Linked DNA regions of Bombyx mori. The protein of the gene in region 3 interacts with the protein of the main gene of each other region in a pairwise test. Links are inferred from orthologs where the notes say so. Each region holds a gene or a part of one and is shown on either strand. Other genes may lie near its edges.

Region 1 (10,745 bases), on a different chromosome or scaffold from region 3:
CGTCGAACCCGACACCGGTGCGTTGAGGGTTCGCGATGATCTGAAGAAGGAAACGGATAGCGAGTATACGGTAAGATTCATACTGGTTTGTTGTCTTGAGCCCTCGTGTCTCCTTACGAGGGACCCCCCTCTGCCTGACCTTGAGGCAGGGGTGATGAGCTTTTTTTTATTGCTGCTTAGATTGGTGGACGAGCTCACAGTCCACCTAGTATTAAGTGGTTACTGGAGCCCATAGACATCTACAACATCTAGGAAGGGTGGTGGTGCCTACCTGTGCGGTCTCACAAGAGGTTTGCTGGCATGAATCTCATATACGTGCTGGTTTGAGTTCAGATTGGATGGAATTTTCTTCTTTCTTCGTTCTTCTTTTGGAAGACCGAATGGTTAGGCCACAGACAGAAACGTGAACACATCCGCCCACCTTTCTCTATCACCACATCTTTCATACCGAAACGCATTACTGCAGCAATAGGCGGAGCGCTGGTACCTACGAGCTAAGTAGAAATGATTAAAACCAAATTCGTGTGCATTACAGGTGGACGTACAAGCTTACGACCAAGGCGATCCGGTCATGTCATCGGTGACCAGTCTAACGGTGTACGTGAGCCATTCGGCAACCGTTCCACCTGACGTAAGCGCTCAGTTTTTTACACATGTAGCAGCAGTAGTAGTAGTAGAATAGTAGAGATAAAAAAACTATAATAGAACTAAAAAAATATTTCTTGAAAACTCGTCTTTAATTCGTTGATACTAAGGTTTTTTTATATAAAGATTCTTTGATGTAAGTACGCGCTCTAAATGTATTAAGAATGAGAGCAGAGAGGTAGGTAGGCAGGAAAATGTCAATAGATAAAAGTTTATGGGCTCACGACCCTTAGTATTGATTATCGAAGCCCATAGATACTAAAACGTGGATGACATCACTTCAAGCTGAATGTTTGGATTTAGGAACGCTTGACTGCTTCTCTATAGAAATAGGAAGGGATGTAAAGAGACAAAAAGCTCTTTAGAAATAGGCAAGATTGAAAGAACCAACAAGCTCTTTAGAAATAGGCTGGATGGAAAGTGACAAAAAGCTCTTTAGAAATGGGCAGGATGGAAAAAGACAACAAGCTCTTTAGAAATAGGCAGGATGGAAAATGACAACAAGCTCTTTAGAAATAGGCAGGATTGAAAGAACCAACAAGCTCTTTAGAAATAGGCTGGATGGAAAGTGACAAAAAGCTCTTTAGAAATGGGCAGGATGGAAAAAGACAACAAGCTCTTTAGAAATAGGCAGGATGGAAAATGACAACAAGCTCTTTAGAAATAGGCAGGATGGAAAGTGACAACAAGCTCTTTAGAAATAGGCTGGATGGAAAATGACAACAAGCTCTTTAGAAATAGACAGGATGGAAAGTGACAACAAGTTCTTTAGAAATAAGCAGGATGGAAAGTGACAACAAGCTCTTTTGAAATAGGCAGAATGGAAAGAACCAACAAGCTCTTTAGAAATAGGCAGGATGGAAAGTGACAACGTCGAGGATCGTGGGTTCGATTCCCACATCGAACAAACATTCGTGTAACGAACAGTTTTTTATGCTCATTTTCTGGGTGTTTATTAAACAAGTTTGTGTGTCAGTCTCTGGTATCCATAGCACAGGGACTCCTAATTAGGGGCCAGATGACCGTGCGTGATTTATTCCCAGTTATTTAATTTATATCCCCCAACTCACTAAAAACTGCTACGTAATTTTAATATAAATTAAATTTTAATTTTTTAATGATGCTATTTCTTCATTTCTAAGTTAATTCAATATTTTTTCTTCGTCCATCAGGTCGGCTTAGGTTTCGCTGATACAGTGTATACGGAACACGTTGCCGAGAACTCGCCCAACGGTACCCTAGTTAGAGTGTTGCCATTACTCAATAAAAGGGAACATTCCCCAGACACGCCTCTAAAATGCTTACTCACAGAATCTTCGCAAAAAGGTAAGATTGCGTTAATTATTCTATAGGTTATGTGGTTATTGATATTATGAAATGCATAATTAAATAATCAATAGAAAAATGGCCAAGATTACCCTATTTTCGTTTTGTGTGGAATCCCTTTAAACCAGGGGTGAGTGACCTTTTTTATCAATGGGCCCATTTTAATTTTAAATTTTTTTGGCGGGCCGCCCTTTTTATCTCTTATTAATAATTTACGAAACATTATTTTTTTAATAAAAACAATTAAGAAAACAACAGAAAAACGATTTTATGGGAGAAGGTCGATAAAATAAATTTCAATTATAGAAATGATTGGCGGGCCGCGTGTTGCTCATCCTTACTTTAAACAAAACCTTTTTTTTTCATTTTGTAGTTGGGTGGACGAGCTCACAGCTCAACTGGTGTTAAGTGGTTACCGAAGCGCATAGACATCTACAAGGTAAATGCCGCCACCCACCTTGAGATATGAGTTCCAAGGTCTCAGTATAGTTACAACGGCTGCCCTACCATTCAAACCGAAACGCATTACTGCTTCACGGCAGAAATAGGCAGGGTGGTGGTACCTACCCGCACGGACTCACAAGAGGTCCTACCACCAGTAATTACGCAAATTATAATTTTGCGGGTTTGATTTTTATTACACGATGTTATTCCTTCACCGTGGAAGTTAATTGTGAGCATTTGTTGAGTACGTATTTCATTAGAAAAATTGGTACCCGCCTGCGGGATTCGAACACCGGTGCATCGCTACATACGAATGCACCGGATGTCTTATCCTTTAGGCCACGACGACTTATACTAACCGATTTATTCAGGGATATTCTACGTGAAGCTGACAGAAGACCGCGACTGCGCGATATACCTTAACACGAGTTCGCTAGACTACGAGACACTATCGGAGTATTCTCTGGAAGTACAACTGGAGTCCATACAGGGTCTGATCAACCCCGACAGTAGTAGAGCGCTCGTCAAAGTTCATGTGACCGACGTCAATGACAACCACCCCGTGTTTGTGTTCAACGAACAGTCCACTGTGGCCGCCGCGAAAGGGAAATACTTCGCTATTGTCAATAAAGAGATGCTTCTGGGCACCAACGTTCTTCAAGTAAAGGTGAGATGAAATTTAAAATAAAATAAAAAGAAATTTTGTTAATAATTTTATCTTATTATTTATTTAGTTTAATTTAAATTTACTCAAAATTAATTTTATGTAAATGAAAAAAAAAAGATATTCAACTTTATTTAAATTTAATTATTCAATTAATTATTAAATGATTGATTTAATTAATTAAGCTTTCAATAGTTGAACTATTGAAAACACACGGTTTTTTGAATAGATCGTTCTCGTTGATTAAATATAAAAAACTACTTTTAAATATTAAAAAAAATACTTTTACATAGACTAACACGAGTCATTTTTGAATGTGCAGACTATGAGAAAAGCTATTAGATGCCTATCATATACTCCTGGTAACAAAGAAGTAATGCGTGCTGATTTATAATTACTCACTTAAAGTGCTATACGTGAGATAAATTTCAATCTTTTGTCGTACATTTAAAGTTCATTTTGGTAAAGCATCGAACGTAAATACTATACACAAACAATATTTGTCGTGTAAAACAACTCTTTATTTACTCGACAATAAATGAGTCGTCTATTATCAAAGGTGGCAATCTGTACATTTGGACAAAAAAAATTTATTGATATGTCAATACAGATTTATTTGAATATAATCGTCTCCTTCAAAGAATACGGTTCAAAACCTGCATTAAATAAAGGTTAATAGTTAACCTGTTATTTATCTAAGATGTCGTTCCGAAGAGTTTTGTGACTGCCAATGGAATACAAAGTCAATAATTCGTTTTTCTGATTTACCAATCATTGTCCAAAAGTCAGATTGCCGCCTTTGATAATAGTCGACTCAAATATCGATTTATTCAGGCGAAAGATCGGGACAGCGGCGCTTACGGCAAGTTAGAATACCACAAGAACTCGTGGACCGAAGCGGCCGAAGAGTACTTCGGTCTGGACGCGGACACGGGGATCATAAGCAATATAAAATCGTTCGAGAACGTTCCAAAGGACATTCTGCCGTTCAAGTTCAGCGTGACCGCGAGAGACAACCCTGATTCGCCACAGGACTATAATATAGCCAGAGCGTCGGTTGTGGTAAGTGTTCGATCCATATTTATTTCATAACTCACGGCGTAAAGTGATCATAGGATCTTTTTTTTTAATGCTTAGATGACGAGGACGAGCTCACAGCCCACCTGTTGTTAAGTGGTTACTGGAGCTCATAGACATCTACAACGTAAATTCGCCACCCACCTTGAGATATAAGTTCTAAGGTCTCAAGTATAGTTACCTAGTTCATAGGATCTCACAGATATTAACGCGTAAATGCCGCCATCTTGACGCTTGAGCTCTAAGTCTCAATTCTACAGTAGTGACTAAGTTAATGATACCTATAAGTGTGGGCTGAAAATTCTATTCAGTTAAGATGAAATAAAACATTAATACGCAATAGTTTTTCATCAGGAACACTGTAAAGCATTCTAAATGGCGGAAATAATAACGACAGATGAAAGGTTATTTGGCTTAAGCGACATTTTTGCAACTTTGTAGATAGCGGCTTTGGCTCTGCCCCTGGTATTGCTGAAATCCATGGGTGACAGTAATCACTCACCTTCAGGTGGGCCATATGCCCGTCTGCCTGCAAGGGAAATAAAAAACTTACAGAAGAGCCATTTAAAATTCAAAATTTGAAAAAAAATCCATAACAAAAAAATAATCTTCAGCTAGTATTTGAATGGAGTAAACTTAATTTAAGTTCAATTAAAAAACGTCGAAATGTTGATGCTAATACCAAATAAAACGGACCTTTAATTACAAAGGTAAATGTCGCGTTTTTAAGCGAAATCTCGCTTATACCAAATGGCCTTTCACTCCTCGATTTATAATAACAATAATAAATGTGTGATTAAACCGTAAAATTACGTTTAATCATGTCTGCGACTAGCGAAAACCTGTTACAAAATACATAACTACAGCTCTACCACAGTAATGTAATCCTGTCAATAATTCACTGAAGCTCTACACGCGAGGTGACCTTCACTCACCTCTATCTCTACCTTTCTATCTTTATCTGACTATCTATTCCTAGAGATCTTATCTTAGAGATCATATTCCTATCTATTCCTAGACCTGTATCTATCTATCTTTATACAAAAACAATATACTGTTACATTTATACAGAACAATATAATGTTACTGGTGGTAGGACCTCTTGGGAGCCCGCGCTGGTAGGTACCACCACCCTGCCTATTTCTGCCTTGAAGCAGTAATGCGTTTCGGTTTGAAGGGTAGGGCAGCCGTTGTAACTATACTGAGACCTTAGAACTTATATCTCAAGGTGGGTGGCGCATTTACGTCGCAGATGTCTATGAGCTCCAGTAACCACTTAACACCAGGTGGGCTGTGAGTTCGTCCACCCATCTAAGCAATAAAATAATAATTATTATTATAATTATGCTAATTACAGATAAACTTATTACAAAAAGAGAATCAACTGGTATTGGAAATAGCGGATTTGAATCCGGATGCGATGCGCCGGAGAGCCAGAAGTCTTCTATCGGTCATAGAAGAGAAGAGCGGTTTGGTCGCCGGCCTAGAAAAGTTAACGTCGAGACATTATCTAGGAGAGAATGGTACATTGGAGAGCGACAGCCGTGGGACCGACGTTTGGCTCTACCTAATCGAACCTAGTACTGGCGAAATATTGACTAGAGAATCTATGCCTGTGCAGAAGTGAGTAGACAATTATTGACATTACCTATTATATTTATATGTATATAAATCTCTCTGTCTCATATATTCCTAGTACATTTATATAATACTAGTGGTTCCCCAGTAGTCGAAATAGTGGTGTAAATTAATTTTTATGCTTATGACTTGGGAAACCTTAGAGCATATGATATTCGCATTATTATTTATTACTAGACGATGACCGAGTTTTTTTTTGTTGATAAATTGTGTTTTTTAGAAATGATATTTAAATACGAATTACATATTGATAACATGATGAAATATTCCAAGATCGTTTAGGCATTTAGTAAATGAACACGTGAGTTAAAAATGCACAAATAATATAAATATACAATTCATTTTCTTGGTCTAACCTTAAACCAAACACTCATTGGCTTCGGGTTGCTTAACAACGCCATCTGCTGAAATAGCCTTAGCGTTATTGTGTCTTTAAAGCAGTTAGTTGCTCTCAATTATGAAAAATAGTATTATTATTCGCCAATAGATGTCGGGAAGAGTCATAAAGTTGATTATCGAAGAAAAAAAAAAATGAAATACACCGAACAAACAATCAAAAGTATTTCATTAGAAAAATCGGTATCCGCCTGCGGGATTCGAACACAGGTGCGTCGCTCAACACGAATGCACCGGACGTCTTAACCTTTAGGCCACGACGACTTCAAATACTATTTTTTAGAAGCGTTGTGATTTCAAACTCGATAAAACGAAAAAATAAGTCCATAGAGACACAAACACATAAATGTATAGGATTCAGCCGGCGAGAGAATGAGATAGAGCACATTCGACGGTCTCGGTCTCTTCTTTCTGCGACTCTTCGTAGCATCCCCACTATCGTCTACTAAACATTGTCCATATGTATGCTCCTGTGTAGTGGGACGGTCAGTATATCTATATCTTATTTATAAGTTTCACTTCTTCCGTGTCTGACTTGCTTGCACACACATTTTTTTTTATCTTCATAGGGCCATAGAGACTGGGGTCCACAAAGCGGTGGCTGCTCGGCTTCAGTCTCCAGTCAGTGAAGTTCGAGCTCCTTTATTAGCGGCCGAATTGCCGAAGAAGCCTCACATAGCAGCCGCGCCGCTCGCCACGGCCCTACCCGCCGCCCTGATAGGCCTGGCCGCCGTCGTACTGGTCGCCGCACTGGTCGCCACCATCTACATCTGCGCCTCATGGAACAGGTAAATGTTTGTATTAGTTTAAGTTCAACTGAAGATCAAGACTAGACTGTCCTCACTCTGCCTTCGCCGCGCACTCGAGTACTTCGGTCATATTGCTGGGAAAACACCGGATAGCTTAGAGAGACTATTCGTGACAGGGAAGATCGAGGGAAAGAGACTGCGCGGGCGCAGTCCGACAAGGTGGTTCGACCAAATCCGCACCACACTAGAGATCCCATTCCACGACGCCCTTCATGCGGCCAATGATCGGAGACGCTGGCGGGACATTACAAGGAGCAAAATCCTGTCGACATAAATGGTCACGACCCTCAGCAGTGAGGAAATGATGCGAGGAGGAGGGAGAAATTCCCAAGGAGAGGAGTTTTCACGATCGGTCTTGGGCTACGCGCAGCCCGCTGAGTTTCTCGCCGGATCTTCTCAGCGGGTCGCGTTTCCGATCCGGTGGTAGATTCCGCGAAGCACTGCTCTTGCTAGGGCCAGTGTTAGCAACGCTCCCGGTTTGAGCCCCGTGAGCTCACCTACTCGCCCGGTTACGCTGACATAGCCTCTCAAGGCTATCAGCTCAGGTAGGGGAAAAAAGGGCTACGGGCTTTGTTTCGGCATACAATAGTAGCAGTAGCTTTTGATTGTTGAACGCGCTGAAAAATCCAATAATCACTATTTGCTAATAATTACGGTACTTTAAAAACAAAAGAATATTGTACACTCCTTAGATTTAAGGTTCCAATTATTTTGTTCTATATACATATATTTATATTGTTATTGCGATCAATCGCAATAACAATATAATGTCGTCTTAAAAGTAGTTAAATTATGTTTAGGACTCGCAAAACTCAAAAAAAATACTACAATTATCGAACAGGTCCACCACCCGAATATGGTTTGAAACTTTGCCTTGAAAATGTCGTTTCCACAATCCAAATTTTTGTCAGATATCTTTTATTCCAAAAAAGAATGACAGTAGGAGGGGATTGAAAGAGACATATACTTCTTTAAATGCAATCTTTATGATAATGACACCGTTATTGATCGGTATGGTGCAGATTAATTAGCAAAAAGTGTGTGTGTGTGCAAGTCACACACGGTAGAAGTGAAACTTATAAATAAGATATAGATACAGATATACTAACTATCCCACTACACAGGAGCATACATATTACGGACAATGTTGAGTAGACGATAGTGGGGATGCTACGAAGAGTCGCACAAAGAGGAGACCGAGAACGTCTAATGTGTTCTATCTCATTCTCTCGCTGGCTGAATCCTATACTTATTTTTTCGTTTCATCGAGTTTGAAATCACAACGATTCTAAAGAAGTTTCACTTCAATAACTACAACGTGCATAATATTATTAAATCATGTATCAATTGTTCTTACTCCATTTCTAAGGTATAAGAAACACAAAGAGCAAGCGGTTCAACAGTACGGAACTCTGAGTATGAGCATGCCGCCTCCTCGTCCTCCGTCTGGCTACGAGTCCAGTGAAGATGACCCCGCACCGAGATATGAAACACAGGTACTATAAGTTTCAAGTTCTCCTAGACATTTACTAACATTTACCGCAACCCATACAAAATGATCTCTATTTAAATATTACTATGGTCTATCAACCTCCATTTGGAGGATAAGTGGAATATGAGAAGGATCAATTATGGAGATGTCTCGATATGTGTGTATAACAATAAAATTAGTAACATTCACTAACGCTTATCGACAATGTCAATGCCAGAAATAGATATGGCGCTGGCAAGGATTTTTCAATCCTCTTTTAGAAGCCCTTGAAGGTTTAACTTAATCTAAATAACATAGTCAATACTTTTGTTTTACACAGAATCAATTTTGGTGATCTAGTTAAATTTACTAAATAAATACGGATACGATAAAGTTTTTTTTTTAAAAGTTACTGATGTATGTTGCAAAAGTTATTGGGGTATGTTGCAATTGAAGACACGAGTGGATGAAGAGAAGATATGATACCATTTGTTAATTTTGAGAAAACTGGCAACAACCATTTGTTATCTGTAATTTTTCTTCGTTAATGACTACTTCAACACATGCAAATTTCTAAAAATAGCCTTGAAACCAGTCGTTTTAAGGTCTAATATGGTTTATAGGCACATAACGCCTTCATTTCATGTAAAAAACCAAAAATCTTAAAAATGGTACTTAACCCCTTCATTCACTCATGACTTCAATTATTTTTAGCAGATGCTAATGTCGTCCAGATAATCGTGTCGGTGAAAAATCTTCGTTTTAAATTAGCTCTTACGTTTATTTGTTTTAATCATATTTTAGATTGTGTTATTTGTATTTTAATAGAATTTCGCATCTCTAACAGGTACTCAATATGGCGGTCGATGACGCGGATCTGCAATTAGACTTCAGTCCAAACAATCACGCGTTCAATATACACAACGTTCAATATTTATCCAAAGATAATGGTGAGTTTATTCGACCTTTGTAAAACTCAAGTAAATGGAAAATGACGTTACAATTTAAGATTCTTAAAATAGGTAATTCACATCTCACACTGTTATAAAATATAATAAATATAAACATATTTTACACACGATGCAACTTGACATTACAGTCTGATATCTTACTTATTTGTTTTTACTTTAATATTGACTTAATAATTAGAAACGGGATTTTTTAAAAAACACGCCAATGAAACTTATTTGAAGATTTCGAAATATTTTTTTAATTTTAAATACAATATCATTGGTTTGTCTTTTGTATAATTATTTTCTTAAATAATTGCTATAAAATTCCAAAGTACTCACTAATCCTGACAAAAGAGACTTGGAAAAAGTAAATCTGAATTTATGCTTCACATTGTAAGATTTACGAAATTTGAAGTCCTGTCCCAGTACCTAAGTGCAAACTGAATATAGATTATCTAAAAAAAAATACTGTACTATTTTATTATATTGTTTTATTTTTTTAAATATAAGAACACTTATTGCGGCGTAACTATAATAGTTAGACATATGCTGTCGTTAAACTTTTTATAAATAATAATGTGTTCTACAAATTTGTTGTAAATTATTTTATTCTATCATCAATAGTTTTCGCAGGGCACGCGATGTAAAGAATATTTTAGGTAATAATTGTTTTACACCTTGGGTTACATTATTGTAGTTTTAGTAAGGATCCCTATTTTTTTCAAAAGAGATTTATAGCCTATGTCACTCGGGAATAGTGTAGCTTCCAAACAGTGAAAGAATTTTTCAAATCGGTTCAGTAGTTTCGGAGCCTATTCAATACAAACAAACAAACAAGTATTTCCTCTTTATAATACTAATAATAGTATAGATTGTACGATATAACTTATCCACCTCAGGTGAGAGAAGTCCAACGTTATCGGAAACAGCGACGACAGCTCGAGCCTCGAGCGTCAATGAAAACGGGGGTACTCTGAACAAACTCCACAACAGCCACTACGATCCTATCGCGAACAACGCGTCCATAGCGCGCAACACACAGACATTGAACCGAAGGATGCCGAACTCGCAAGCGTTGAACAACGCTCTCGGGACATTGCCCCGTGCCAACAATAACAATGTCGGTGGTGGATTATTAGCCGCCACATTAGGTAGGAAGATCAACGGGAATAATCACAAGAAGAAAACTCAACCCATAATGGCGTACGACGATATACCCGGAATGCAGAAGTACGTATAAAATTTATTTTCATTTCATTACATCTTTATCTCAGTCATACAAATTAGTTAATAACTAGTGGTCTCGCGGTAATCGAATTTCG
Region 2 (11,338 bases), on a different chromosome or scaffold from region 3:
CACATTTTATCAGCCACATTACGTACGTGAATCTAGCGATAAAACAACGATTACATACTAGATACCGTAAACCAAACAGGTTTTATTACATTCACAATCATTCAAGTGAACAGAAAAAAAAGAAACTGTGTTCGTATTATCTTAACAAGGAAAATAATTAAGTGCATAGAAAAGGTTAGGGTTCACTCCAGAAATAATAGATATTTTTTTTCCTACCTACGCTGATGGCCTTGAGAGACTATTTCAGCGTAACCTTAACGTGTAGATGAGGTCGCGGGGCTCAAATCTGACGACGTTGCTGACACTAACCCTAGCAGTAGTGCTTCGCAGAATCTACCGCCGGATCGGAAGCGCGACCCACTGAGTAGATCCGGCGAGAGACTCAGTGGGCTGTATCTGTGGGTTAATTTACTCGCCGAGCCCTTCGTCGCAAGCGACGGGTTCGACGAGAACGATGACCGGTGCTTGTAGTACCTAAAAACACCGTTAGTGGATGGGGTGGATCCGAAATGACGTGTTTTGGGCGACGTGGACTGTTTACTATTCGGTCCGCATGATCGGAAATGGAAATAATAGAAATAAAGCGAGCGAGATATAGGAGACAGGAATTTTCGAGTCGGCGTAGGGGGGTAGATATCAACTCATTACGTTACATTTAATTGAAACGGCTATATTGAAGTATTGAAACTTTAGTCTCATCAAACTTTAGTTTTAATTAGAATCAGTTTTTTTTTTCACGTTACGATAAGTTTATTGAATTGTGCTGTGAATCCCTCTCGTAAATGTTTCGGCGTTTATTGCAATATTACAACATAACCTTATAAATTTTGTGAAACACCAATAAGTGTCATGTTGAAATTGATGGGCGTCATATACAGCACCGCAGCCGTTAGAAGTATTAGACTGTATTATGCCAGAACGAGATAATCTTTGGTGATATCACACCGATTACAGAAGAAAATTCTGTATTAGATGAGCTAATTCATTAGGATAACTTGAAAACTGTTTCAAGCAAATTCTAAATGTAGCTCTGCCTAAATCAGGGGCCACAGCCGTTATGAAGAATATGATCGAAATTACCTAGAATTTCTTCCGACGATATTGCTTCGAGGGATAAAAAAGGTCTGTCCTAACTATGCAATTAAAGTTTACATCATGACACACTACTGGTCGTAAATTTTGTAACATAGTTGACAAACTAGTTAAAAATTTGCTAAACAATAAACAAGTTTTATCGTTACGTTTCCCGCGAGGGTAGGTAGTAAACATTTTTAATGCAAGTTACAGCACTGACCGAACATTCACGACAACAATAAAACTTTACAACACACTGTATAAGCTACATCGAGGGTAGTTTCAAGCGACCGCTTTATTTCATCTGTGCTTACCGCGTGTTTCATTAACTAGGGTATTCTCATTTGAAGTGAAACAAAATGTATGGAATTACATTATGTAACGCCACTTTTCATAGGCTGAAACGTTTTAAAATACTTTTTTTTAGAGTGCGGTTGGCTGAAGAAATATTTTGCAGATTCTATAACAGTTTTGGAAATTTCAGTGTTCTATTTTTAATTATTTTGCATAGATCATATGGTTTTATGTGTACTCACCGTCCGCGTCTACTTCATTGATCATGTCTTGAAGTTCGGCTTCTGTGGGGTTCTGTCCTAGCGACCTCATCACGGTGCCCAGCTCTTTGGTCGTGATGGTGCCATCGCCGTCTTTGTCGAACAGTGAGAATGCCTCCTTAAACTCGGCGATCTGTTCTTCCGTCAGCTGATCCGCCTGCAATATTTATGAGCGTTTTAAAACACTATTTATTTTTAATCAAATTTGCGTATATATTTTATCATAAAACGAATAAAAAACAAACAATAGGTAGTAAAAATCTATCGCAAATTGAAGGCAGCCACTTCCTAACTGAAAAAAAACACAACTTTACAAAACATTCAATCACAAAACCTCAATTGAATCAAATTAAAAAAAAGAACTGCATGATTCAACGCCACAGTAAAGGACATTAAAAAAAACTGTCAAGCAGAAGCCTATACGTACAGCCATGACGACCATAGTAGACGAGGATTCGCAACAGAAGACCGGCAGGCAGACTGGCAAAGTGCCAACAAAACTCTGCCGATAAGATACCAGGCAGAGATTATGTATAATTACCTACTCAAACTGACACGTCACAATGCGGCACAGATAAATATAACATACTGCATTGGAACATTTATCATTATGGCTTGCGATAATGTTTATTGTTATTGATATAAACTTTTTAGACCGAATTTATAATTTAGCCTAAATCGTTTCGCGCTATAATTAGTAATACGATGGCACAAGCCACAATCGTGGATCCACAAGTTCCGATAAAGTTTGATTCAAATAGATTCCTGAAATTGCAAAATAACCTCATTTGGCACAAAATGTTGTTATCAAACATTTGGATCCGAGCCTACATGGAAGTAAGCCTTATGAAAAATATTATTTGAAATAATTATGCGATTAGTCTCGGTAAGATATATATTATGATGTTCCACGACCGCACATTTCAATCATACCATTAAAATTACAACTTTTGTCGTATAAACTAACACTTGTACATGTTTTGCATGTACATAAAATATAATCATACTCTCAGGCAGAATAGTCTCTTTAAAGTTTATTTTGATAACAATATCATTTTGAAACGTATTCAACATATAGATCCGCTGATTCATGTTTAATTGATCCGAATAATGCACGGCTGTATTGTACAGCACTTAAAGTACTTCACGGCCAACTGCCATTCGACTAGGCGCCTGGCATTCTTGAGGTGTACTGAGAACAGCCTTACTTACCTAAGTAATTAGTGGAAGTAGAGAGTATTGTAGGCCTATACCAATATGTAAAGTTATAGTGTTATCTCAACAACGAAGCGAAGCACTAATGCGTTCGTTTGGAATCGATCAATACAATTGAAACCTCTGCATTTTATCCCTCATAATGGGTAGAGAGAATTTAAGCGGTTACTGAATCCACACACGGATGAAACAAGATTTAAGTCCTAGTTACTTTGAACTAACACATATCGACTATTTAAAACGCAATGCAAGATTATTTAACATTAGAAATATGCACACGATGATAGAACCGCGTATAGGCGGATTTAGAAAATACCCCACCATCAAAGTATTGACAGTTTACTACTATTTTTATTTATTACTGGTGGTAGGACCTCTTGTGAGTCCGCGCGGGTGGGTACCACCACTCTGCCTATTTCTGCCGTGAAGCAGTAATGCGTTTCGGTTTGAAGGGTGGGGCAGCCGTTGTAACTATAATTGAGACCTTAGAACTTATATCTCAAGGTGGGTGGCGCATTTACGTTGTGGATGTCTATGGGCTCCAGTAACTACTTAACGCCAGGTGGGCTGTGAGCTCGTCCACCCATCTAAGCAATAATAATAAAAAAATTTGGTTGTTGTGGGCCGAAAGTTTGATGATTAGTCAAGTCATGGTCTGTGGGCGAAAAGCAAGTGCCAAGCAAAATTCAAATATAGACACATTGCTAAGAGCCAGTTTTTTTCCAGGAAAATCAAGAAGCTCCATGTATGTCCAATCTCGAATTCACGGCCGCTTAAATGGGATACTACTGTACTAAGAGCAATATATTTTTAATTTAACTATGTTTTAGTTATCAATAACATGAATAACTAAACAAATAAATCTAAAAAATATAGTGATGCACAGTCACTAACTTGTTCACATTGACACAGTAAAAATAAAACTAATATTACTTGATATAACTATGTTGTATTCTACACAGTAGGCAATAGGTATGAAATACCTAAGTTATGATTCAACGTAGGAACACAAATGTATGAGGCATAAATTAACATTTTTTGTACAATTCCGATACAACTACACTTTTTAATGTTGAATTATTATTTAGATTCAGCTTGTTAGAGACAATAATCATTTGAGCTGAAATATCACTCCCTTTTTAATAAATTAATTTTAATACATAAACATGCTTAATGGATTCTTTTTTATTAGATGTGAATAGTCTCTTTAAGCACTATCGGAGGGTACCAAAATGATGTTAGCCTAAGAATCGCTTAAGCTACATTTGACAGGGCCACAAGAATTTATTATCTTAATTTTAGTTCCAATTGTAGTTAGTAGGTAAATATTACACTATCATGTCACTTGAACATTTATTTAAATATGGATAATTTGGCCTTAGCTATTTTAGAAAAGAATATTGCACATATATTGCCCTTTTTACATGATTTGTATTATCAGATATTCTAATGTAGTGAGAAACATAGCTTACAGCCCACAATGTCCTACATATTAACTGGAGAGTTGTATGAGAATGCCTCCGCTAAGCCTCGACACATTGAAAGACCTCTATTAATTATACCAATAGGTGCTAACAATGGTTCTCATAATGTATGATAGAATGTGCTAAACTCTTTCATATTTTCTTTTTCCCAACTCAATTAAATTGAGCTTCAGATTAATCTCAACTCCTTGGATTTTCAAACACATTAGAAAAAAATATAATTTCAGATATATACAAAAATATTTAACTTAAACATATGTTTACACTTTAGGTGTTATAATAATATATTAACTTAATTATACCAAGTTTATCCTTAGTTGAGAATGCATATTTAGCATTTATCAATGTTTACCACCAGTTTATTATTTATTATACTCAAGCTAACATTTCATGACTTCATTTTATTGAGTAGCACAGTTATTACTAGAACAATGGATGTAAAAAAATAGTTAAAGATTAGAATAAGATTAAAAAGCAGATTCTTTCTGTATGAATTTATATACATTCATAGCCATGATCTGCGAACTTAGAACAATAAATAAATCATAACAAAAACTTTGAATGGCTGCAGGGAAAATATCACCATTATACCCCACATACCCAATCCCCATTATTTTACTGGCAAAAAACTTTCAATGAATTTTTTTAAACACGAGTATGAGTATTCTCCGCTGAAATAAAATAGAAAAAATAATGGCTAGGGATTTAGTCAGGAACAAACTGTAATACTGTAGGCAATAGGGACTACACCGATCCTTGTGATTTCAAGTATTCATATCGAAGCTTGAAAGGCAAACGTGACTAAGCGATAATGCGTGAACTTTACAGTAGACTAATTTAAAGTTGAAATACCTGAAAACAAAATTTATTTTAATGAATCTAGCTGTATGATTGAAATGATTTTAATAGACCTACAAATTTATTTTTCGTTGCGCACTGAATATGGTTATTGCTTATCATTTATGTACAAAGCAGTTATAGTCGCTTAGTCAAGTTTGCCTTTCAAGCGTCGATTTATTCTTAATTTCTGTAACTTCAAGCAAAGGAAATTTTGGTGTAAGACACCAGAATTCAGCTTTTAAAATATAACAAGAGCATGTTAAACTTTTTCGAAAAAAAAAAGAAAAAGAATTACAGCTGTAGTTTTGGTTTGATAAACAAAAACTTATTTACATGATTGTTACTATAAGTGGCACCGTACGACGATGAAAGCGACAAGTTTAGTTACCATTATGGAATTTCACAGCAGATGATATGTTATGTACAACAACACGGTCTAACGAAAAGAGTTTTACGTAGGTACAATATCAGATAATGACGATGAGTCAACGAGCGTTTGACAGTTGCGCCCGGCGATCGATCCTCATAACAGCGGCCGCGGCCTTTCGACAATATGCCCAAACTACAAAGCCATTTGTTTTCTTTCCAACGACGTCCCTGCGCCATTTCAACCGACATTAACGGCCTACTGCAAATTAAAGAACGTAATTTCACCGGCACCACCTATTAGATTATGGCGACCGTTGTTTCTGCATAGGCTCGTTTTTAAATATCGCAAAATCTAAAGCTTTCAACACTGCTTTGAAGTTTATCTATTTCGAAAGCCTCGCTGTGAGGCTTCAGTTACGCCTTCTGATACTTCTCGAATCCGCAATGCGGTAAAAAAAACGGCCATCACAATAATATAATGGAGGCCGTCATCACTATAAACACCGATGCATAACTTCTCCGAAATACGACCCGGAAACTGTTCCTCGTGATCTTCTGAAGGCACTCCCGACACCTTTCAATAGAAATAGCACTCACCATTGTAGATTAACTTGGATTATCTGGAGCTACACTAAAAAATCACAGACTACGCCGCAAAAGCGACCGCACGGACCGACGGCTGAAACGATACTGCCGCCCTCACTCGCGCGAGTGGCCTCGCTGAGAAACTCGGGATCGCGGTTCGGATCGAGCTCGGCCGCGAATCGTTCCGAATCGACTACTCGATTCGTCGCACTGTCATATCCGTCTTTCGTTCACGAGAAGGTTAGTTTCGCAAGCTGCAGGGCGGAAACGGTCTACACAATGATTATCCTCGGAACGTCCAAGTCCATGTTTCGGGACGCACAACACAGGATTAAATTTGCTCTGCAAAGGATAGTCGGTTTTATAAGGGGCGGGTGCGGCGGCGTAGAGCGCGAACCGGCGCGCGCCGATTGGCCGCCGCGCACCTGCAATGCGTCACTGCGGCCGCGAGCCCCACGCCAGCGAGAGCGGCGCCCGCCCGTGCCCGCTCCCGAGCGCCGCTGCCCCAGATCCGCGCCGCAGTGCCGCCCGCAGGCGCCGCTAACGAGATAACACGGGCTTCCCGACGCCGCGCCCCCACACACGCATTCCTACTGAAAGTAAACGTTGCCCTATCTTGTCGCAATATCATCTTCCGTATGATTCGCACACAATCGGAATGCCGGAAATAATAAAAAATTAAAAAACAAAAAAACAATTACCATAATTTCCTACCAATTAATATAGACAATTGAATTATGATAGTACCTACCAAAGTAATCTCTTTTATTTAAAGATACGTAAAAGCAGACTAAAAATATGAACTTGTAGATTGTTTATGATCGCTTTATTGTTTACGTGTTTATTGACCCTGAAAAATCAAACAAAGGCTTCAGGTTCGATTTAGTATCTTAAATATTTTTAGCATCTGGGGCTCTAGGTATATTTGTTCTCGTCTCGTGTATATATTTCCAGTATACATAATACAAGAAAAACCTAGCTTGACACTGTTATTTGAGGATTTTTATTTACAATGTGTGCAATGAGATGTAATTAAAAACACACGTCGGAAATATTTATGAAGCATTCATTGTAAGAACCCCGTAAGATTAGTACTAGTCACAAAGAGATTCTTATTACATTGTAGAAGATATTATAGAAACGAAAATGAATGTAATGAAAGGCATGCAGATTATAACTTTAATTTATCATTTCCATAAAAAGATTTTTTGTAGCTAAAGGGGCAATCACGAATTCTGTACTGTAAAACCTTATATTTAAATAATGTTCATTTCATCCTTTCAGATTAGATGGTTTTAAAGTTATAATATTATAATATTAAAAATTTTAACTCATTTTAAGAGAAAAAATTAATTGTCAATTTTATTAAACAATCGATTGTCGATTGTAAGTATCGATTTTATGCAAGTCAAGAAACACATCACCATTGTTTAGATGACAGTACTACCATCTGTGATTGAGTTATAGAACTAAATTGAAAAATGAAAGTTTTCCGCTAAATTGTCACAAGCTCCGTGGGCATTGTTTAATTAAAATTTACTTTTTACATTGTGAACATTAAAATACTTTGTTCGCACTTGAAGTCATCATCTAACTCGTATTTGTTTAATTATTAATTTTTTTTAGTAAATTGTTTTAAAGTTTCTTTGCGTGTATGTAAGGTTTTTGTCATTAAAATACAATATTTATGTATTAATAAAGGATTGGATTTTTTTTTTTTTTGTTGCTTAGATGGGTGGACGAGCTCACAGCCCACCTGGTGTTAAGTGGTTACTGGAGCCCATAGACATCCACAACGTAAATGCGCCACCCACCTTGAGATACAAGTTCTAAGGTCTCAAGTATAGTTACAACGGCTGCCCCACCCTTCAAACCGAAACGCATTACTGCTTCACGGCAGAAATAGGCAGGGTGGTGGTACCCACCCGCGCGGACTCACAATGTGATTTTTGGTATTTCAATATTGGCAACGATAAATGCAGTAGTGACTACCACTCACGATCTGTGTGTTTAGTGCAAGTATTTTAACGTTTTCGATAGCGTAAAAGTTAAGTCAAATTTGTATGCAGTTGGAATAGCGCGCCTAGCGGCATACGTTCCAACTCCATCTAAAGTTGAGTTAACTTTTACGCTATCGAGAAAGTTAAAAAGCTCGCACTAAGCACACTGGTGGATTATCAGATGCTTTACTTTTATACCAACACAGAATGAAAAATAAATTTACCCAACATATTCGAAATTTTTCATAGTTTTTCTAGATAAGACTTTATAATAAAAACACATTTGTATACAGTAAATAATGCTACTACAATAATGATATTATTGTTATCAATTATATAATTATACTACAGTAATACAATACAATAGTTTAATTATTGTAGTACTACATACATAACAACTACATTTTTATTTGTATCTAATTAATAATGAATATTAAAATAATAATATAATAATATGTTCGTTGTTTGTGCTCCATCCTTAGGTAGCGTCTTTTACTCGATGGCTTGTCAGGCTTGAGCCCCGCGAACTCACCTACTAGTTGGATGAATCTAGAATAACGCCTCGAGGCTACTAGAACACGTAGGAAAAAAAATATCGATGGTCTTGAAATTTTGTACATCTATTTATTGCACTTCCAGGCTTAGTATACTCCTATGATACGGTTCAAACTATATAGTATTGTATATGCTAGAGAAGCGTATATCTTGTTTCTACTAGTATTTTTTATTGTTTAGATGTATGAACGAGCTCACGGCCCGGCTGGTGTATTAGTAACAAAATGGAATTATTCTGGAATGTTCGATTGCATTCCGTTGAAATTTTAATTTGATCGATCGCTGAGGTTTTATACCGCTCGTCCTGTTAGGGGTGTACGTGCTGGTGTTTATCCGACTGTCATGACCGCTGACCGACTATCGTACTACGATGATATCTTTACTCGATTCATGGTCGACGTCAACAAATTTTTACTAGCTAACATGAGCCTACGGGCTAGTTCCACCCTCCTGTCCATTTCCTCCACAAAACACTGTGTGTTCCGGTTGGGAGTGTGGGATAGCCGTTATTCAATACAACGGATACTTGATGACGGAGGCTTCACGTCTACAGGTGGATGGCGGCAGGTATGCTGTGATGCCCATGAGGCCTGGCCGCTGCTAACACCGCGTGGCCCTTGCAATATTACGAGGAGCTGTCAAATAACTCGCCACGAATAACGATGCACGATCTTTATGTTTTAAGTAGGTTCATAATAATTTTAATTATGTTGTTTAAAAAAAAAACGTTTTGCCATACGTTTAGATGGCGTGTTCTTGAGTGAGTAATCCCATTAATTTGTTAGTGTAATTAGTGAGAGTGGGGTGCGGTTTCGGCTGCCAGTGTCATTCGGGTTCTAATAATTGCTTTAGGCGCAAACTACACTTTTAATTTTATTATGTGTGACGAACGTCACAGGGTTGTGGTAGAAATAGATTATTCATTAAAGATCCTTTGTTTTGTTTATATTAATATTATAAGACTCTTGCATTGCTATCAGTTTGGGATAGTACTGTTATTCTATCAATACAGATAAGCCTTCAATCTTACGTGTCAGGACGTGCTGAGTGTTCACGTAATCTTGAACAAAAACATGCACCAATCATTTATTATTTTTAATTTATCGTATGTTTTACATTATAAATTAAAATTGCATTATTCAACATTAAAATTTGTACTTTTGCTAGAAACATCGAAAAATTCTAAATAAAAAAGATGTTTTATGATTTTATTTTGAGTTGTTTTCAGTATTTCGGTTAAGCACAGATCCCTTCCCTATTTATTAGAGCAATTTTCAATAATGAGTTTAAGCACAGTGGTGACGGAACAAAGACATTTCGTAATATTGACGTTATGTTTGAAGAGGACACAAGTATTCAACACACTACGGACAATAGCGGTTCTTTGTGGAATCTTAGACTTGTAAACAGAAGCACGAGTAGATACCATTTAGGAAAGGAAGACAAAGAAAATATCGTCGAATTAAAGGCAATGAACCTTTATTAAAATAACTACGTAATAAAACCAAAATAATTTGTTATACGGCTTAATTTATTTTACCCATAAAAAAAAACTGGTTTGCTTCAAAACCTAATATTATAATAAAAAGGCGTTCTTCGGGAATTAGCAGGCGTGCATAGAGTAGCACATGTTGAAGCTTAATTTACTTTAAGAAGGTTTTGAGTGTCTTCAAAGTAGGTGAGCGTGTATCATGTGAGGTGTCATTTGGTTGTAGAGACTGTTAGTATGAGGCAAAAATTTGGAAGCGTATTGTAAATCACGGCCGCGGTTCCAGGTGATGACTGATGAAATGTGTCGCAACGCAGGGCGATGCAGTGGTAAAACACTGATGAAGAGATCATGTCAAGACGATGATGAGGTTTTAGCACTACCTACGGAACATGAACTAACCATTCTTTTTTTTTATTGCTTAGATTGGTGGTCGAGCTCACAGCCCACCTGGTGTTAAGTGATTACTGGAGTCCATAGACATCTACTAAATGCGCCACCCACCTTGAGATATAAGTTCTAAGGTCTCAAATATAGTTACAACGGCTGCCCCACCCTTCAAACCAAAACGCATTACTACTTCACGGCAGAAATAGGCAGGGTGGGCGATCAACCATTCGGCGATCATTAATGAACCAGAAGGCATCGGACCGTATTTTTTCGTTTTATAAAATTGGACACTACTCCTGTCCCTTTCCACTTGCTCTGAACACTCAATTTCGAAAATCTTGAGATTATTTAGCATGAAAGGGTTACAGTTAATCTGCGTCGCTGGATCAACTGGATAAAATAAACATTTTTGTTTCATTCCTAAAGATTGCATTGCTAATAAATAAATAAAAAAACAAAGCCGGCTAGTTCCTTCCGTCGCGTCCTGAGGAACGTCGCGTCTTATTTCCGGACCGGTTGTGGAGACAGCGTTAAAGTTTGCCTTCGGCTAATATTATTTTTTCGCTGACAAATTGAAGTGAAACGTTCCGCGTTCAACGCTTTGCTAGACTATTGCAATTTACAATATGATTTCAATATTTTTATTTCACAGTTGTATCCGTTTACATAATTATTAAAAAATTAAGCTGTAGTACCCTCCGAGTGACTATGTTAGAGAATCATTTGCTTATTCCTCATTTCAAGCAAAAAACGCCACGTTAACGATTATTGCTTAAGTACCAG
Region 3 (11,471 bases):
GACGAGCTCACAGCCCACCTGTTGTTAAGTGGTTACTGGAGCCCATAGACATCTACAACGTAAATGCGCCACCCACCTTGAGATATAAGTTGTAAGGTCTCAGTATAGTTACAACGGCTGCCCCACCCTTCAAACCGAAACGCATTACTGCTTCACGGCAGAAATAGGCAGGGCGGTAGTACCTACCCGTGCGGACTCACAAGAGATCCTACCACCAGTAAAAAGTTGAACAGTCCGCAATGTTAGGACCGGACCGCGGGCCCAAGCCAAGGGATGGAATCCAGTTAGGTCTAGTGGCAAAGAGTCACAATTACTGTATAAAAGTGTCAATTGTGGAAAAGTTAAAACGCACATTCGGCTTAATACATCAGTGTTGGAGCTCCCATGACAGAGGCAGTACTGTCCAGCTTGTGCTTGCATTAATAAATAAAAGTAAATTTTCGCCGAAAGCCTACTTATTTCCCAAAGCGGTACATTTCTCGAGTCGGCGGGTTCCGATCATTGCGTTTGGCAACACATTCCATCAGCCACAGAATCCGACTCAGGGGTCGTTCACCTCGCTGACCACACACACATCACACACACACACCATGTGAATGTGAGACGTTTCAATTAAAACTATCATCATTGTTGGTAATTGAATGGCTATGGCATTGTCTTTTTTTCTTGAATATAATTAAGTTTCTATAGCCATGTGTGAATCTTTTAATAATGGGATTTATGGTAGTAACTCTATGATTGTTGAATGCGTAATCATACTTTACAAATATTTAAAGAATTTTTAAACTTATTTCTTGATGTGATGATACTCAAGATTTGTAAAAGCCACACATTATATAACAGAAATGTAACAAAATTAGAGGCTTGCCAAAAAATTCTTATTATGATCTGAGAAATCCTGATCTAACCTGAAATTGTGGAAGACTTATTGTTCTGATTTGACCGCTGTATCCAATCTATACTAATATATAAATCTACAGTGGTTTTTACGGATGTTCCGTTATAATTACTGAACCACGCATCCGATTGACTTAAACCTTGGTATCCATGTAGAAAATACATGTACTTAATGGATAGCATATTTAGATGAGTGTTGGACTCCCTACACCAGTTGCGGGGGCGTTAATGATGAGAATCTTTGTGGGGGTGAGAAATAATGACGTTAATTTTAAATGCCCAGCGAAGCGGACGGGTACAGCTAGTATTTCATAATTCACTTACTTTTTTGAAGTCAATAGCAGTGGTAGCAACTATAATATACGCGTATATGTAAAGGGTGTCCTGTATACATATGTAATATAACTCTTTGTCGCTTTCGACGAAAACGGTGCTTGGAGTGCCGAGAGTGGATCGGGAGGATCTATTAATAAATTTAGATGAAAATAATGGCACTGGTGAAATATTTCAATTTCCTAGGAAATAGTAAAACTACGTATTGATCAAACTACTGTTATTACTGGTGGTAGGACCTCTTGTGAGTCCGCACGGGTAGGTACCACCACCCTGCCTATTTCTGCCGTGAAGCAGTAATGCGTATCGGTTTGAAGGGTGGGGCAGCCGTTGTAACTATACTTGAGACCTTAGAACTTACATCTCAAGGTGGGTGGCGCATTTACGTCGTAGATGTCTATTGGTCCAGTAACCACTTAACACCAGGTGGGCTGTGAGTTCCTCCACCCACCTAAGCAATAAAAAAAAAGTAATTTGGATAGCTTAGTATGTATTTATGAATAAACTAGGTTTTGCCCGCGACTTCGTCCGCGTGGAATAGTTACTTTAGGATAACGATAAATTTTGCCCACGACTTCATTTACATAGAAGGTGAAAATATTTTTGAATAATAGAATATTAAGGAGCTATTTAAGCTACGAATATCACGCTTTTTAACCGACTTCAAAAGAGAAGGTTATCAATTTGACTACATTTTTTTATCTATGCATGTTCACCGATTTCTCGAGAATGCTTGAACCGATTCTTATAATTTCTTTATGTTTTTTTTTTCTTCAAAAGGGTAGACTTCCCGAATGGTTCTGTAATCATCAGGATCAGGATCTCATGATGGGATCCTGGAGAAATCGAGAAAAGTCCACAATTTTCAAAGCATAATATTTTGAAATGATTTGGGTGTTTCTTGTTATTCTTCTTATTCTGTGCCACCTCTGTACTAGTAATGAATAGCGTATTTATATGGATAAGGATTACTATAATCTTTATAAAAACATCTTCACAAATAATGCTTCTTTTAGAACAAATTTGGTTTACTTTTACTTTTAAAGGGGAACAATTCTATCATATATTATTTTAGCGAAACTTTAACAGTTTCTGCAGCGCACCCACCGGAAGGTCTCAAAAGGAAGAAAAAAAAACGATTTTGAAACATTCTTTATTAGTACTCTGCTCGTATTGCTCTTAGTGTGATGTTATATTGTAAATGGGCTATCTAACGCTGAAAGAATTTTTCAATTCGAAATGAGATTAGCGCGTTCAACCAAACAAACAAACTCTTCAGCTTTATAATATGACTAGCGACCCGCCCTCGCTTCGCTTCGGAAACATTAAAACAAACATGAAACAAAAAAAAAAATTAAAAAAAAAAAAAAAAAGTAGCCTATGTTCATCAGGGACAATGTCGGCTTCTAATGGAAAAAGAATTTTTCAAATCGGTCCAGTAGTTTTGGAGCCTATTCGAAACAAACAAAAAAACAAATCTTTCCTCTTTATAATATTAGTATAGAAGTATAGATTAATAAATAAGAAGTGATCTAAATCAGTTCAGGCGCCAACGGCTGTAGGCGGATCTTTAGGATGAAACCGGGTACTGTAATTGACTAATTTGGATTGAACTAGTTTCGTAACTTAATTGGTGATCCGTTTTATTTTCAATACAGTACAGCCCACGCCTGCCTCTAAAGCCATTGGAAAAACCAATTATTATGAAATGGCGAATGTCTATTCCAGTTGATGTGCTAATAAATTATTTGTTGCATTTTTTAGTGAAGTATGTAACGTAACTTGCTTGATTTAATTCAAATGCTTCGAGAATACACTATGATTCCCCTTAACCCATTAGCCACAGCCCACTGAGTTTCTCGCTGGATCTTCTCAGTGGGTCGCGTTTCCGATCCGATGGTAGATTCTGCGAAGCACGGCTCTTGCTAGGGTTCGTGTTAGCAAACGTCGTCAGGTTTGAGCCCCGTGAGCTCACCTACTAGTTAAGGTTACGCTGATATAGCCTCTCTAGGCTCTCAGCTTAGGTAGGAGAAAAAAGAAAAGAAAGAAAAGCTGTGACTCATTAATTTACTTGTCGTTTTATTGCAATAATACAAACACGTGTTGGAAGAACACGAACAAAGCGTTTCTTTCTAGTTATTGTATTAAAATGAACATTATCGTAAACATAATAATGCTTTTCAATTTATTTATAAGATGTTAAATTTCTTACAGTTCATATGTACAAATTTTCATTTATTTTCAAAGTTTCTTTGAAAAGAGTTAAGTTTTTTTTTTTTATGAAATTTAGTTATAGAAAGTAGACTGCCAGAATTACAAAACCGTTGTACAACGGCTATCACACCCTTCAAACAGGAACGCATGCCTGATTATCAATTTTGAAAATGAACCGTTTCTAGTTCCATCCAATTTACGTTTAAAAGTTTCATTATAACTAATACTAGTGGCCCCGCGGTAGTCGAGATTCGACTATAATTAATTGAAATTATAAGTTTAAACATTATTATGATTCTATTGTCAAACACATATTTCGATAATATAATCACAGTATTCGCCAAAACTGCACTACAGATTAATAATATTAAAGCCAAACAATTTTAATCTATTTTCAATTCGACCACAGACTTTAAACAATAACAAAACTTTCGCAATTGACAGTAAACAAAGAGGCTCTAATAAAGAATTAAAAAAAAAGAGTATATTTTTATGTATGTGTTGTGTCAAATACATGGTAGTGTGTGTAATGTTTTCTTTATTGATTTAAAGTATCTTTTATGCATTATTTAAAAAAAATATTAGCATTGTGCACTCCTCTATATTCTCTATAAGTGTGAGAAATTTCATACTCCTCCGTCCCTGCAATTTTCGTAAAAAGGGGTACAAAGTTTTTACTTCACGTATTAATATATAGATAAATCAATATTTTTGTTGGAATTAATACATAATATGTACTTTTCAATTTATACGTCACAGACCACGCATAAAACTGTCATCGCACTAATTGACCCAAAAACGAAAATTAATTATTTACACTAATAATATAAAAATGAAAATATTCAGTCTACATTAATGAACCATAAATATAATAAGTATACTCAATATAAAATTTATTCGTATCTGATGTATCGGAGCATACTCAGGTCAGAATCAGTGTCAAATTTACGATAAAACATCTATTGTGGATTCCTACAGTTAACATTTAATGTGCTGTGTTGTAAAACAATTGCATTCTGTGCTTTTTATAATGTACGAAGATGGAAACTTGTTTGACTTTTGAGGTCAGTAACTTTTTATTCATTGAAATTAATAGAAAGTTTGTTGTATTTATTATGGACGCCCTTTCTAGAGATGATTAGGTGAATTAGGCACGTGCAATCTTTTAAATAATTTATGTTATTATGAATGTAGTAATACAACGGGAACGTAAATATTTATTAATTTATATTGGTGTCAAAAACAAAACCATTAATTGATGCCTATACCTAAATATCCTTGGACTTTTAATAGTTCTGAATTAATTTGCATGATTGTATGAAAGATTACTTATTAGTTCAGTTTTCCTATTAAGAAAATGAAAGTGATAAGATATTAAATATAATTAGGGGTCCATTATCCTGAAGCCTTCAATAAGTTATAGACGGTTTTATTCATGATGCATCTTTTGCGTGATGCACATTATAATCTGTTTAAGAGTACTCTACTTTTTACATATACTCATTTCAGTAAACATTTCAATAATGTTTATGCACTTCTCATAAAAATTTATTACAATAACATAATGAGATATCAAACATTCGGATTATACTTGTAACGACATACGAAAGTCGGCGTATACAAATTACAGTATCTAAATAACTAGTTAACGCTTTCACGCAATATCATTGATAATGATCGGATAACTCGTTTGCAGTAATAGGGATGTCACTTTCTATATTTTACTTCCTAGAAGCATTTATTGTCTTTGTTTTCATTTCGCTTACTGAATTTATAAGTGAAGGCCAATGTAATCGACTATAAATTCAATGTTAAGTATATTAGCCACACTTAGATTGTTTTTATTTATTTTGTATTATTAAATATAATCAAATTAACAACTAGTTTAGAGAAATTTAAGCATGCATTACTCGGTACCCTTTTGCAGTGCCTTGCATTGTCTTGTTTGTATTAGGATGCGTTTCCAAACGATTACTTTGAAATCGCATGCAATATTGTATTCATTGGAAACTTTTCCGCTATCTATGATCTATGCTACTCTTTTTATTCTACCTGGAATGCCAGCTCAATCCACTTCTGAGTAAAGCTCGCATTTGGTGTATACCAATGAAATTGACCTTTGAACAATACAGAAAAATAAAAATATGTTAAAAAAATTTACTTGTCATCATGACATATTTCATTCTGCGTCACTTATAAATTGTCAGTTACACAATGAAACAGTTTACGATTATTATGTATGTATAGAAATGTAATTTACTATAGTTGTCAAATGCACAATTTTTGTATTATTGCAAACTTAAATTTCCCAATTTATATCGACTTTAATGCCTAAAACTGCAGTTTAAAAAGTATTAAAATATGTTTAAAAAATATTTTATGCTTTTGCAGTAGAATATGTTAATAAAACTATAAATTTTTAAATTAATGTATCAAGAACAAAGAAACTTATGCAAAAACTTAACTAACCCGTGTTCGTGATCAAGATATACCATTTTATCTATACTAATATATAAATCTATAGTGGTTTTTACGGATGTTCTGTTATAACTACTGAACCATACATCCGTTTGACTTGAAACTTGGTATCCATGTAGAAAATACATGTACTTAATGGATAGGCTAATATTTATATGAATGTTGGACTCCCTACACCAGTTGCGGGGGCGTTAATGATGAGAATATTTGTGGGGGTGAGAAATAGTAATGTTAAATTTAAATGCCCAGCGAAGCGGACGGGTAAAGCTAGTAGAATTATAAATATAAAGTCGCATACTGTGACAACTAGACCAATTGAATTAATCAGTAATGCTTTTTGTATTTATTTCCTAATCTTCATTTATTTTAACACTTCATCCGCCACTTCCAGATTTCAGATTAAAGTCTACCTCGTTGAATCTTGGTCTAATAATAACTTACATAAGAAAAATAGAAGATTTCTTACAATGTGACTATTTTATCCTTTTTTCTGAATTACATCGTTGCTGTTTAGCTTCTTTTTATAACCAATACTTATATTTTCGAAAACAATTTAACGAAATACGAGTTATTTTACATAATTTTCGCTACAAAAAATTATTACGACGATAAATTATAATTAAGCAGATAGACAGCTCGTGCCGTTATTTACAAAACTTTGAAAATTAAATGCTATCCTCAGATTTAAACCTGTTTCATTGAGATTATCGCGAAATCTATATGATGCAAAATAGTGAATGATTTCTTTTTTTTTCAACGTCGAGCTCACGGCCTGCCTAGTAATAAGTGAGAAATATAAAATAGCATATCAAAATCGTTATCTACAGAGATCCATGTTCCCCTAATTTCTTTAATCCCTTTTCTTGTTTGCCTTGTTACTCGTAGTCATTTTAAAATACCAAAAAATAATAGTTTAAAAAAACAAAAAAACACGTTTTATATAAAATTAAACTAAAAAATAGAAAATAAAATTAAATAAATTTAAATTGAAAATAGTGTAAAAATATATATATTTTATTGTAAAAAAAGCGTGGGGTGCTCAACGTAATCAAATTAGTGTATTGTCGTCGGTCCTCGATAAATCTACAAAGTTTGAATGAAATCTGGCCGTTTAAAGTGGGTCAAAATCGCGTCTAAAGGAGTCAGTTACAAACATACAAACATACATACAAGTGAAGCTAAGTAATAAAGCGTGTAAAAATAACTATTGTTGATGATTTGTGTTACAGGGCGATTACATATGGATCGAGCCGGTGTCGGGGCGGGAGTTCGACGTGGCGATCGGAGCACGTGTTCTCGCGGCCGAGGGACGTCGGATCCGGGTCCGGGACGACGACGGCAACGAGCAATGGCTTCCACCGGAGCGCCGCATCAAGGCGATGCACGCGACCTCCGTGCACGGAGTCGAGGATATGATCTCACTCGGCGATCTGCACGAGGCCGGTATACTAAGGAATCTCCTCATCCGGTACAATGAAAATCTTATTTATGTGAGTATGCTAATTGTTTAGTCATGACAGTAAATGTTTTGTTTTGATTACTAGTAACCAAAAATACCAATAGTAGTATTATTTCCACTATGATGCGAATAATATTCATTATCATATAAATGTTAGCTGAATAATGAATTTATTGTAATTCTGGTCTTTTACTGTTGGTAGGATCTCTTGTGAGTCCGCACGGGTAGGTACCACCACACTGTCTATTCCTGCCGTGAACAAGTAATGCGTTTCGGTTTGAAGGGTGGGGCAGCCGTTGTAACTATACTTTAGACCTTAGAACCTATATCTCTAGGTGGGCGGCGCATGTTGTAGATGTCTATGGGCTCCAGTAACCATTTAACATCAGGTGGGCTGTGAGCTCGTCCACCCATGTAAGCAATATAAAAAAAAAACAAAAAAAATTGAATGAAAATACTCGATATTCCAGACATACACCGGATCGATATTAGTTGCGGTGAATCCGTATCAGATACTACCGATCTACACGGCGGACCAGATCAAACTGTACAAGGAGAGAAAAATCGGCGAGCTACCACCCCATATATTCGCGATTGGTGACAACGCGTACGCACACATGCGGAGATATAATCAGGATCAATGCATCGTTATCAGCGGGGAATCGGGTGCTGGAAAGACGGAGTCAACAAAGCTTATACTTCAATACCTTGCTGCGATTAGCGGTAAACATTCATGGATAGAACAACAGGTGAGGAATGAATCTTGTATTTTCTTATAGTATTTGGATTTATACTACCCATATCAAAGGCAAGTTTAATTAATAGTGTTGGTACCTAAATTGTTAATTTAGATATCGGTATAGATATGGCGGTTAATATACACTAGATTTGGTATATATTAATTAGATAAGGTATTTATGGAGCTAAAAAATGATTTTAATGTTTTGTATTTACTGATTACATCCGACATCATTTATTTCAATTATTATTTTCTATTCTAAATTTGTATAACAAGAAACAATAAATATATTATCGTTTCAGATTTTAGAAGCTAATCCAATTCTAGAAGCTTTTGGGAATGCGAAGACAGTTCGAAATGATAATTCTTCGCGATTCGGAAAATATATAGATATACATTTCAATAGCTCTGGAGTTATAGAGGGAGCTAAAATTGAACAATATCTGTTGGAGAAATCTAGGATTGTATCCCAAGGCACCGAGGAGAGGAACTATCACGTGTTTTATTGTTTACTGGCTGGATTATCCAAAGACGATAAAAAGAAATTGGAATTAGGCGACCCTTCGGAATACAGATATCTGTCTGCGGTGAGTGTTTCATGTCTCGAAAATAACTCTTTCTAACCAAAACATATTGATATCTAGTTATCAATCTAATGTTCGATAGTCACATAGATCAACAAAAGCAATAACATTAAGAGATTGTTATTTTACATTAAAATTTTATTTATTTGATTGCTTATATCTGACATATTTTGATAATATCCTCGCGTGCTTGTTTAGATCTGATATCGATCCTAGACACGATTTTGCGTTTATGATAAAAAAATTACTATTTCTATTTCAGGGCGGGAGTTTTTCGTGCGAGGGCAGAGATGACGCTGCAGAATTCGCAGACATTAGATCAGCAATGAAAGTGTTATTATTCACAGAATCAGAAATATGGGAAATTTTAAAATTACTGGCAGCAGTCTTACATTGTGGAAACATAAAGTACGAAGCGACTGTTGTTGATAACCTTGACGCCACTGAAATTACAGAAGAAGCGAATGTAAGAAAGGTAGCCAACTTACTTGGTGTGCCCTTACAATCTCTTATACGTGCTTTGACTAGAAAAACACTATTTGCCCACGGAGAAACTGTTATATCAACACTAAGCAGAGATCAGTCTGTTGACATTAGAGATGCATTTGTGAAAGGAATTTACGGTAGGCTATTCGTAACTATTGTCAGGAAAATCAACGCGGCCATTTACAAACCCAAGTCAACTACAAGAACTGCAATTGGTGTCCTTGACATATTTGGTTTTGAAAACTTTGATCACAACAGTTTTGAACAGTTCTGCATTAACTTCGCAAACGAGAATCTACAACAGTTTTTCGTCAGGCACATTTTCAAATTGGAACAGGAAGAATATAACCATGAAGGCATAAATTGGCAACACATCGAGTTTGTTGACAATCAGGATGCTTTGGACTTGATTGCTTTGAAACAGCTAAACATTATGGCTTTGATAGACGAAGAATCTAAGTTTCCAAAAGGGACTGACCAAACTATGCTAGCTAAACTTCATAAGACGCACGGTCTCCACAGAAATTACCTTAAGCCAAAGTCTGACATTAATACTAGTTTCGGATTAAACCATTTCGCTGGAATAGTTTTTTACGACACACGGGGATTCTTAGAGAAAAACCGAGACACATTTAGTGCTGACTTACTGCAATTAATTCACATATCGACGAATAAATTCTTACAGCAGATATTCCAAGAGGATATCGTCATGGGCTCTGAAACAAGGAAACGGACACCGACGTTGTCAACGCAGTTCAAAAAATCATTAGACTTGTTGATGAGAACGTTAGGGACTTGTCAGCCGTTCTTCATTCGCTGTATCAAACCGAATGAATTTAAAAAACCAATGCTCTTCGATCGCGGCCTTTGTTGCAGACAGCTTAGATACTCCGGAATGATGGAAACTATTCGAATCCGGAGAGCCGGCTATCCGATAAGACATAGTTTTAAGGAATTTGTCGAAAGATATAGATTTTTAATATCGGGGGTACCCCCTGCTCACAAGACGGACTGTCGATCAGCCACTGCAAAAATTTGTGCTCAAGTATTAGGGAAATCCGATTATCAGTTGGGTCATACCAAAGTGTTCCTTAAAGACGCTCACGATTTGTTCTTGGAGCAAGAAAGAGACCGAGTTTTAACGAGAAAGATATTAATACTCCAAAGATCGATACGAGGATGGGTTTATCGTAGAAGATTCTTGAAGATGAGAGCGGCAGCTGTTCTCATTCAGCGTCATTGGCGGGGTAAACTACAGAGGATAAGGTACCAGAAGATGAAGGTCGGGTACGCTAGACTCCAGGCATTGATACGAGCAAGAGTCCTCGCACACAGATTCAGACATTTGCGCGGCCATATTGTCTCTCTACAGGTAATTTTTCAATTATTCAAACCAACACTTCCAATTAACCTCCCCCTTTTAATTACATGTAGGCATGTAATAAAATTTCATGTTGTTGCCTAAATTTTCGACACCACACTAAACAATTTTGTTTAAGCAGTGTTGTTTTAATGAATCCTGTTCCGAAATCTAGCTTTTTAATTTTGTAACACAGGTGCAACGCAGCATAGGACACGGGACACATGGACATAAAAAAAAATCGATTGTGTGAAAATTTCATATGTCTCTCGAACTAACACTTAACTTAAAAAATTTTGAAAAGAAATTTAAAAAAGATTTGTGTAAATAAGAAGAAGTTTATGTTTTGTAAACATAAAATATGTAGGTACAAAGAAAAATAATAGATGGCCACAAAAAAACAATTATTTTCATATGGCGTTATTCATTTATATTATGAATTATACACCCTTTGACAGCCTTATTATAACGGGTATATATATTATTATAACTTATAAAGACTAAGAACGTCAATAAACACATGGTATTTGAGATTGAGATGAGAGTCGCCTTAAAATTATATAAAATGTAAATAAATGGGACATTTTCAAGACTCGATAATTTAAAGATGTGGTATTATTACACTGTTAGGCTGCGGCTCGCGGGTACCTGGTGCGGAGGTCGTACGGCCACAAGATGTGGGCGATCGTGAAGATCCAGAGCCACGTGCGGCGGCTGATCGCGGTGCGGCGCTACCGGCGGCTCGCGGCCGAGGAGCGCGCGCACCGCGAGGCGCTGCGGCTGCGGCGCCAGGAGGAGCAGCGCCTGCACCACCAGGGGAACACGCGCGCCAAGGAGATCGCCGAACAAAACTACAGGGTGAGTTTTGATGTTCCGTGTAAAGAAGTACCGAGACCAATTTCGGGGTTTCGACGTACCACG

What was found.
Region 1: the proteins of myosin-VIIa (region 3) and cadherin-99C interact in binary tests that used the Drosophila melanogaster proteins (3 or more experiments, as listed by UniProt). The link is inferred for Bombyx mori from reciprocal best matches to the Drosophila melanogaster genes ck and Cad99C.
Region 2: the proteins of myosin-VIIa (region 3) and calmodulin interact in binary tests that used the Drosophila melanogaster proteins (3 or more experiments, as listed by UniProt). The link is inferred for Bombyx mori from reciprocal best matches to the Drosophila melanogaster genes ck and Cam.

Annotation. Positions count from the first base shown.
Region 1 is NC_085112.1:10,965,421-10,976,165, forward strand, and holds part of cadherin-99C, read left to right. Parts: coding exon 1-70; intron 71-535; coding exon 536-631; intron 632-1,817; coding exon 1,818-1,971; intron 1,972-2,786; coding exon 2,787-3,082; intron 3,083-3,913; coding exon 3,914-4,141; intron 4,142-5,513; coding exon 5,514-5,779; intron 5,780-6,759; coding exon 6,760-6,978; intron 6,979-8,368; coding exon 8,369-8,495; intron 8,496-9,317; coding exon 9,318-9,420; intron 9,421-10,322; coding exon 10,323-10,653; intron 10,654-10,745. UniProt on the Drosophila melanogaster protein: Cadherin that functions in epithelial morphogenesis and the intestine epithelial immune response. Essential for female fertility. Regulates the length and organization of apical microvilli in developing follicle cells and salivary glands.
Region 2 is NC_085129.1:640,086-651,423, reverse strand, and holds the start of calmodulin, read right to left. Parts: upstream 6,216-11,338; 5' UTR 6,137-6,215; coding exon 6,134-6,136; exon of another isoform or gene 5,559-6,133; coding exon of another isoform or gene 5,556-5,558; intron 2,446-5,555; exon of another isoform or gene 2,071-2,445; coding exon of another isoform or gene 2,056-2,070; intron 1,786-2,055; coding exon 1,611-1,785; intron 1-1,610. UniProt on the Drosophila melanogaster protein: Calmodulin mediates the control of a large number of enzymes, ion channels and other proteins by Ca(2+). Among the enzymes to be stimulated by the calmodulin-Ca(2+) complex are a number of protein kinases and phosphatases.
Region 3 is NC_085110.1:14,511,804-14,523,274, forward strand, and holds the start of myosin-VIIa, read left to right. Parts: upstream 1-4,378; 5' UTR 4,379-4,484; coding exon 4,485-4,508; intron 4,509-7,151; coding exon 7,152-7,412; intron 7,413-7,851; coding exon 7,852-8,130; intron 8,131-8,422; coding exon 8,423-8,707; intron 8,708-8,966; coding exon 8,967-10,562; intron 10,563-11,180; coding exon 11,181-11,408; intron 11,409-11,471. UniProt on the Drosophila melanogaster protein: Myosins are actin-based motor molecules with ATPase activity. Unconventional myosins serve in intracellular movements: can function in cells as a single-molecule cargo transporter.